Linked DNA regions of Canis lupus familiaris. The protein of the gene in region 1 purifies or fractionates together with the protein of each later gene. This does not show direct contact. Links are inferred from orthologs where the notes say so. Each region holds a gene or a part of one and is shown on either strand. Other genes may lie near its edges.

Region 1 (4,328 bases):
TCATCATTCAATAGAAAGCAAACTACAATATTGTATAATTATGAGTGTAGTATAAGGAAAGAGAAGTCATTTATCTGTGTGTATTCCCCTTCATGTGACACAGGGGTCCATGTTGGGTGCTGAGAATCCCTGGCTGGGTGCTAGCAATTCCTACCTGGGTGTCAGGAATCCCTTGCTGGGTGCTGGCAATCCATAGCTGGGTACTGGGAATCCAGCTGGGTGCTAGGAATCTTTAGCTGGGTGCTAGGAATCTAGCTGGGTGCTGGCAATCTCTAACTGGGTGCTAGGAATCCCTAGCTGGGTGTTGGCAATCCCCAGCTGGGTGCTAGAAATCCAGCTGGGTGCTAGCAATCGGTTGCTGGGTGCTAGGAATCCTTAGATGGGTGCTAGGAATCTAGCTGGGTGCTGGCAATCTCTAACTGGGTGCTAGGAATCCCTAGCTGGCTGTTGGCAATCCCCAGCTGGGTGCTAGAAATCCAGCTGGGTGCCAGGAATCTAGCTGAGGGGTAGCCATCCCCAGCTAGGTGCTAGGAATCACTAGAACAGTGCTAGCAATCCCTAGCTGGGTGCTGGCAATCCCTAGCTGGGTGCTAGAAATCCATCTGGGTGCTAGGAATCTAGCTGGGTGCTAGCAATCCCCAGCTGGGTGCTGGCAATCCCTAGCTGGGTGCTGGCAATCCAGCTGGGTGCTAGGAATCTAGATGGGTGCTAGCAATCCCCAGCTGGGTGCTGGCAATCCCTAGCTGGGTGCTAGGAATCCCCAGCTGGGTGCTAGGAATCTAGATGGGTGCTAGCAATCCCCTGCTGGGTGCTAGGAACCCCCAGCTGGGTGCTGGCAATCCCTACCTGGGTGCTGGGAATCCAGCTGGGTGCTAGGAATCTAGCTGGGTGCCGGGAACACAGACCACTGTGCCGTTCTTGCATTCGAGCAGCTCATGATACAGCCTAAGGAACGACTGTGGGGAAGGGATCAGAGTACTGACCTCTGAACACTGAACCACAACTAAAGAGACAGGACAACGAGGAGCAACTAACTTCTCGCTTCCCGGGTTCCCAAGTTGAGCGACCACCCTCTCCCCACGGTCCCGCCCCCAGGTTCCCGCTTCCGCCCACAGCTCTCCGCGCTTCGGCGCACAAACTGCGCCTGCGCCGACGCTGGTGCGCGTGCGCCCAGCCCGGTCCTCTCGGAACGACAGCCCCGGGCGCATTCCAGGGGGACGGGCTAACCTCGGGGCGGGACGGGACGGAGCCTCGAGGCCAGGCGGCGGACGTGATTGGCCGGCCGCGGTACACGTTCCTTGTGGGCGGGGCCTCACCCTGGAGCCGCGTCTAGTGAACTGGTCTCCTAATTTGGGAACCGCCAGGCGCGGGCGGGGCGTGGAGCGCAGGGCGGCGGGCTGTGCGCCTGCGCGGAGCTCCGGGACAGGGCGCGGTCCCCGTTCCCGTTCCCGTCCGCGGTCGCTCCGAGCCGGCGCATCTGTTGCTGCTGCAGCGCGCGAGGCGGACGCCTGTGCTTCCCTCGCCCGCCGGGTCGGCGCCGCGCTCCGCGGTGAGTGTGCGGCGTGGCACCCGGGCTCGCCTCCCTGAGCGCCCGGAGCGGTGCGGACGCCCCCCGCCCCCCGCCCCCCGCCCGGGGCCAGCCCGCGCCGAGCCCCCCCAACCCCCGGCCCCCCCCAACCCAACCCCCGCCCCCGGCCGTCGCCCACCTCCTCTGTTGTCGTTTGCTCCAGAACATGTCCAAGTCCCTGAAAAAGTTGGTGGAGGAGAGCCGGGAGAAGAACCAGCCGGAAGTGGACATGAGTGACCGGGGCATCTCCAACATGCTGGACGTCAACGGCCTGTGTAAGTGCGGGGGCCGCGCCCTCCCGGGGCCTGCAGGCTGTGCGCGCTTCCCGGGGAGCCGCCGGCCGCCGGGCTCCACAGCTTCCAGGGCTCTGCACCCCTGCGTGCAACCCTCGCCCGCGGAGAGCTTAGCTCAGAAAGTTTGCAGCCGGGGACCTGGCCCGGCCCGGCTGGAAGACGAGCCTCAGAGCCCGGGGTAGGAGTCACCCAGGCAGTAGCTGGTATTTGAGAAGATTTCCCGCGCAGTTTACTGCACACCCACTCTATTTTAAATCGAAAATCACTTTTGCATCAGGCTTGTTTTCTCCTAATATAGTCACTGACCCTTGAGCAATCGCCACACAGAAGTTCCATGATTAACTCCTCTTATGGCTGCTGGAGTTTGTTAAGCATGTCTCCTCCACTCCTTGCCCTTTCCTGGCTCTTTATTCTTAGTTGAGGCTTTTGTTACCTCCTCGTGCTACTGTGATGTATCCCCTAACTTTTAGCCTCTTGCCTTCAGGTTTGCTGACCCTGTGCTTCAGTCACTGTGTTGCTTTCTAAGGTTATTTTTCTGCAACATATCTTAGCCTGTAACTCACTCCGTTAAGCCAGAGATTGCAAACTCAGATGTCTTTTGGGGCCAGCTGAGGATGGTCATGAACTTCATCGTGGGTATCCCATCTGAAGAGGGGCAGCTGCCGAACCTGCTGCGCACGTGCACACGGTTGTCACCACCTGGGGATGTTGGCCTAGTGTTGCCATAGTTGTTGTTTTCAGGAAGGCAAGAGTTTAGGTTTTTACGTGAAATTTCTTAATTTTTTACACATTGGCAACTAATTCCAGTACTGAAAAGTGCAGGTGAAATAAAACACTTCTTCAGGCCGAGTGTGGCCTCAGTTTGGACCTTCTCCCTTAAACACTTCTGGTTGTTCATTAGCAACAGTGATGCTCCAAGTTCTTTGGCGTGACATGCGGAGCCTTTGTGAATCTGGCCAAAGCCTACCTTAGTTCCTATCTCATCCATGCGTTTGTTCTTCCCGCCATACTGAACGGATTGCCCTTCTTGAACCAGGGCAGTGTCTTTCAGGTCTTTGTGCCTTAGAAGTATTGTTTTCTTCCTCTCTTTTTCCCCCAGATCCTTTTACTTATCTGTCAAGAATCAGCCCAGATGCCATCGCCCGTGTGAAAACTTCTCTTTTCGTGTCAAGCAAATAGTCATCCCCTCCTCTGTGGAGGTGGACATGCCTTGCTTCATGGCTCTGCTTACCCGGGATTGTGATCCGTTCTTAATCCAGATGTCTCTCACCCGCATTGGAGACTGGGGGGGAATGTTGCTGTGCATTACTCATAAATGCCTTCTTGGTAGTGGGCCTGGCATACAGTAGGTGCTCAGAAATGTTGGGTGGATGGAGTTGCTGAGATTCAGACCAGGATGTGACATTGGAGGAGGAGGAGAGATGTTCAGGAGATCCTAAAAGGTGATGCATTGCTTGTTTGGCATGGAGAGAGCAGAGTCAATCAAATTTACTGTGAATCCGTGGTTTGTGCCCAGGACAGATTGGGTTGGGGCTCTTGATGCATCTCTGCAAAAGGAAAGGGGTTAGAAGTCCTAGACAGTTTGCATTCGGTAACCCTTAGGAAGGTTCCTGCCGCGGAGCTTTAGCTTTTGAACCAATTAGCATGTTACCTTCTTGAGATGAGTTGGCCTCTCCCAAGTGGTGATGGCTTCTTGGTGGCAGCAGCAGAGCTGCAGGCTCTGGGGGCTGGGTTGGCAGCCGCCAGCCAGGCTGGATGTGTGCTTGCGCTGCCACTTCTGGCTCTGCCTAGGTCGAGGCGATCATGGGGCGCTCTGCTGTAATGAAGGATGGTGAGCGCAAGCAGGAGGCCTGGCTCCACTGTACTTTTGGCCCCATGGCTGTCTGCTCCTCATCTCTGCAGAGGAACTTCATAGCCTTTGGCTTTGAAGAGAATTCTTTATGTAATATTTATAAGTAAGGATTGTGGCCTGGCTATTTTGGTTCCCTTGCATTATCTCTTTGAAGCCTTGGCTTTTACTGAAGGAGAAAAGATAGCCACTTGCTTCCTGAGAAAGATGTTTCCGGTGTAATAGTAGGTGGTAAAAAGCAAGATCTTTCTTGTGTTCTCCCGGAGAAGTAGCATAAGGAAGAACAAGCCTGCTTCCTGGGTAGTTTGGAGATTGGACCTTCTGCAGCTTCTGTGGTGTGCGTAGACTCAAAGAGTGGCTGCTTTCTGCTGAAATTCCCTCTCTCCTGGACTCCTGGAGCCTGGAAGGTTCCAGGATGCCTTCTGAAGGCCATTCCTCAACTGGGGCTCATTTATTGGTAGTGCACAGAATGCTTACTCTATATATTTTAATATCTCATATGTTGAAATATTTGATGTGATTACATAAACTAGAGCATAAGAATTCCCTCATTTCTTTACTAGTGAAGTTTTAGCTGTAACCATCAGGTTTTGTGTCTTAGTATGAAGGTGAAACGCAG
Region 2 (4,366 bases), on another chromosome or scaffold:
TTGGTGGGATCAGGGCCTGACAGCCTGGGGCCATAAAAGGAAATTCCCTCTGGCCTGGTGTGTGTGAAGATGTAAGGGGCGGGGCAGGGGGTGGTCCGTGGTCTGAGATGGCTGCCTCCGGATGCCTTAGTGCTGCGGTCACTTCCCTTGTGGGGGCTCAAGGCATGGCCTAAAGCAGATTAGGGGTCTGGCCACTTGCAGGCCACCCAGATGTCCCCCTCTCCCGGGGGATGAGAGTGGGGGGCGTGGCCTTTAATGACTTTCCTCCACAGCTGCCCTCATCTGTTCACTTTAGAGATAGTCAAAAGCTTTCCCAGAGGTGGATTATCCCCACCTCCCCCTCTCTGAAGCAACTATCCTCCCCTACTTAATCAGTGAGTTTTGCCTCCCAGCTCTAATTTGTGCCCTGGTTTATCAGCCTGAAGTTTGTGTGGCAGGACTGGCCAGAGCCTGAGGGCAAAAGTATGAGCACAAGGTTTCTGCTGTTCGGCTGCCTGTCACCTCAGGACCACAGACTATAATCCTGAAAGCCCTGCAGGGAGTTCACCACACTTAATATCCTGCAATATAGGGTGCTTGGGCCCCCAAAGCCTATCCCCGCAAACCAGCACCAAAGCCTTCCAGTTTCAGTGATGCCACCCATTCACCCTTTGGCACCAGGGTTTTATACAATGCATCAAGTGCCCCTGGGCAACTTCACATAAACCTTTATGACCCTACCAACAAAATAGTAAGAGTGCTCAGTCTTCATCTAAGCACCCTTTGAAGAATTATGAAAGAATTATGGAAATTATGTAAAAATATGAAAAATGGAAAAGTGACCAAGAATTATGAGGAATAGCATAGAGCCTACTGAGAACCTGGGAAAGCTGGATGAAGATGACAGGTGATCCTTACTCCTCAAACCTAAAAACTGAATAAAATTTTAAAATAAAAAACCCTGAAAACCCACCATCCTGAATCATCAACATCACTACTGCTTTTCCAAAAGCCTCCTTGTCTCAGCCAACCTTGAAGAACTTGTCTACGTTCACTCTCTATTTCCTCACCTCCCATTCAACTTGCCACCAGGCTGCTTGCTGCCTTGAGGGCTGGCAGTATGTCTGGGCCTCTAGCATGGGAGGTGTTTAACCAGCACTTTAAAGAAGGAACCCAGTGTTGTTTGATTTCTTCATCCATTTTCCTCTAAGGCAGCCTTCGCAAAGATCATCAAATACTCATTATTGTAAATTCAACAGTTACTTTAAAGTGCTCAAGTTTTTTGACTTCTCAACAGCCTAAACTACTGTTGACCACTCCCCCTTCATTGAAACACTCACTTCTCTGAGCTTTACTAACATTTTCCTGTTTCTTCTGCAACCTCCAATGGCACCTTTTTAGTTAGCCTTGCAGAGTTCTCATTCCCTCTCCTTCACACCCATGTCTTCAGGTATCATCTATATGCTAACATCTCCCAAATCTGTGTCTCCAAGTCAGATTTCTCCTGAACTGCAAATCTGCATAACCAACAACCTACTCAACATTTCCACTCTGCTGTACAGTTACTTTACCATGTCACAGCAGCACTCATCATCCTTCAGCCTTGTCCAACTCAGTAAAAGCAACTATCTACCCAAGTGTCTGAGCCAGAACCCTGGTCATCATCTTTGACCTTCCTCACTCCCCACACCAAGTCTTATCAATTATTTACACTAAAGATTTCAGGAATCCAAGCACTTGTTTTTCATCTGCCCCCATTCTAGTCTAAGGCATCACCGCTCCTGGGACAGACTTAGCAATTGCCTCTCCACATGGCCACCTGCTCTTTAAAAGGTATCCAAGAGGACACTTAAGTGGACAATCTCATCATATCACAGAGGGGCTTTAAACCCTTGCTCTTAACGTTAATGACCTTATCATAGTGTAAATATCCTTGCATGATCTGGCTGACCCTTGCAGCCGACCCCTCCAGTCTTATCTTCGGTGGTTTACCACTTGTACCCAAAGCTTCAATCCATAGAAGCTCACAGAAGTCTTCTATCCTCCGGGCATATGGACCGGTGGACAATTTCCAGATTCTCTGCTCACTGTCTTGCCTCCTATATTTTGCCGATGCAGTTCACTGAGGTTGGAAAGCTCTCTGCACCCTGCGCCTGAAAAACTCTTGTTGAGCGGTCAAAATTCAGCAGAAACACAGCTTCCTCTGTGGAAACCCTCTGCCCCCCACAGGCTGTGCTTTGCACTGGTCGCACAGGGTAGGAAAGCCAGCCGCCCCCAGCCGACGTGAGCACCCCACACTGCGGAGAGGAGCTTGTCTCTGCCCTTCTCACCCACCAGCCACGTCAGCTCACCCCTGGTTGAGGTCGTTCTCCGTGTTGTCCAGCCACAGGCGAACGGCCACCGCGTTGCCCTCCCGGCACTGGGTGAAAATGTCGTCCATAGCAGCGTCCCGGCGCTGAGCGCCCTAGACTGGGGAAGCCTGGGGACTGTGGAGAGTCAGGCAGGGGGGTGAACCCCGAGCTCTGTCCCCTACCGGAGAGAAGTGTTCGTGTAGGGGGTGGGGGTCTCCCGCTCCTCCCCGGCTCCTGGAGATCTGGGAAGCAGTTCAGGGAGGCGGGATGGTCCCTGGCTGTGTCCCTGGGCGCCAGAGGAAGGCGGGTCCGCGCGAGGTAGGGGGTGGTTCGGAGGTAGAGTCCCCGACGGAGGGGTGTCGGCGAACGCGCTCTGGGACCCGCCCGCGAACTGAGCTGGGGGGAGGGGAGTCGGGCGCCCGGTACCCTGCGAGAGGCGACGGGGGTCCTTCCCGGGGGGCCCTCGTTCCCTGCTCGGTATTCGGGCCGCGCGGAGGCCGGCGAGCCGGCCGGGGTCGGGCCTCGGGGAGGGGAACGGGTGCTCCCGCACTCACCGGGACTCGGGCTGGAGGAGCCTTCTTCGGGGAACTCCCGTCTGGCCGCGCCCGCCGCGCAGCCCCGCCCCTGGCCCTCTGCGGCCAGCGCGGGCCCATTCCTCCCCCCCTCCCTCCCTCCCTCCCCCCGTCCCTCCCTCCCGCCTCCCGCCTCCCGCCTCCCTTGCCCTTCTAGCCAGCAGCGCTAAACTCGATGGTTTCCGGCGCCGCTCCGGCCGCTCTAGCCCCGCAGACTCTCACTCCTTGGTCTCCGGCGCGGTTCCGGCGGTTCGCGCGCTCCGAGGGCTGGAGACGCGTCCTGCACGTGCAGAGGCGTGTGGACCCCGCGGCCTCCCCCACCCCACCCGCATGTTTGAGGAGCCAGAGTGGGCCGACGAGGCCCCAGCAGGGACGGGCTTCCGGCCTGTAGCTCCACGGCCTCCGCCCGCCGCAGCCTCGCAGATCAAGGTGAGCGGCCGAGAAGCCCACGCAGGTGGATCCGAGCTTTGGGTCACGCCGCGTGTGGGTGAGTGTGTCGGGGCGGCGGGGCGCCTGCGGCCGGCGCGAGATCCCACTCAGTGAGAGCTGTTGAGCCGAAGTTAGTGAACACGGTTGTCTGGACGGGGAAAGCACGTGCAAAGGCTCTGGGGCAGGGAAGCGTGTCCGGGTTGTTCGGGACACACGCACACTAGTCCGCGCGGTTGGAGCACAGAGAGCTGAGAGGGTATGCCCTTGAAGTTGGAGAGGCAGAGTAGAAGTTTTGCAGATTTTAACGGTAAAGGCCAATGAAATGGTTTTAGCAGGGAGTGATTTCTTAAGATTTGCATTTTGGAAAAGCCATTGGTTGCGGTGTGGAGACTGGATTGGAGAGAGCAAGAGTGAATGACCATGAAGGATTACCAGCACTACCGTTCTCAAGGAGTGGTGCGGCGTGGGGACTGAAAACCTCCAGGTTAAATGCCTGCGCTGGGGCCACCCCGCAGGACTTCAATCCAGAAGGCCTCCTGGACAGGAGACCTTCTCCTATAAGCCTTTGCATATGTGAAAGCTGCTGTACTTCCGCAGGCTTTTCCTACCTTTCAGTCGGCGTCCAGCGTGGAATCAGCCTGCTTTATTCCTTTTCATCATCCCCTCAACCCATTGCTGTAATCAACACCCCTGGTCTCTCGGTCCACAGCCTGTCCCTTTCAGTTTATTCTCTACACTACAGCTAGACTCACGTGAAATACACACCTGTGATTGTGTCACTCTTGTTTTCAGAAACCTCCCTACCTTTTATAGAAGGATACCACCTAGAGGCAAAAGCCTGAGATGGAGGGTTGGAACTTCTGTTCTCTGGCCTTGGTCCTGTTACTTGTGGCCTTACCACATTCCTCTGGGGAACTTCCATGTTCTCATTTGCAAATTGAAGAAGTGAGGTGGGTGGTTTCTCTTCTTTCCAGCCTCCCAAAGGCTGAGATGGTGACTTAAAGGTTGGTCAGGGGCTGGCCGACATTATGAAAA

Evidence for each region.
Region 2: the proteins of RSU1 (region 1) and ILK purify together in Homo sapiens (affinity purification with mass spectrometry; 9 studies listed by BioGRID and IntAct, counting the BioPlex papers as one, with this or other methods). This does not show direct contact. The link is inferred for Canis lupus familiaris from reciprocal best matches to the Homo sapiens genes RSU1 and ILK.

What each region holds. Positions count from the first base shown.
Region 1 is NC_049223.1:19,006,800-19,011,127, forward strand, and holds the start of RSU1 (ras suppressor protein 1), read left to right. Parts: upstream 1-1,390; 5' UTR 1,391-1,549; intron 1,550-1,730; 5' UTR 1,731-1,733; coding exon 1,734-1,842; intron 1,843-4,328. UniProt on the Homo sapiens protein: Potentially plays a role in the Ras signal transduction pathway. Capable of suppressing v-Ras transformation in vitro.
Region 2 is NC_049242.1:30,417,872-30,422,237, reverse strand, and holds the start of ILK (integrin-linked protein kinase), read right to left. Parts: upstream 3,013-4,366; 5' UTR 2,885-3,012; exon of another isoform or gene 2,757-2,884; intron 2,472-2,756; exon of another isoform or gene 2,466-2,471; 5' UTR 2,420-2,465; coding exon 2,331-2,419; intron 2,133-2,330; exon of another isoform or gene 1,900-2,132; coding exon of another isoform or gene 1,892-1,899; intron 1-1,891. Other genes in the region: RRP8 (ribosomal RNA-processing protein 8), read left to right, coding at 3,233-3,331. UniProt on the Homo sapiens protein: Scaffold protein which mediates protein-protein interactions during a range of cellular events including focal adhesion assembly, cell adhesion and cell migration.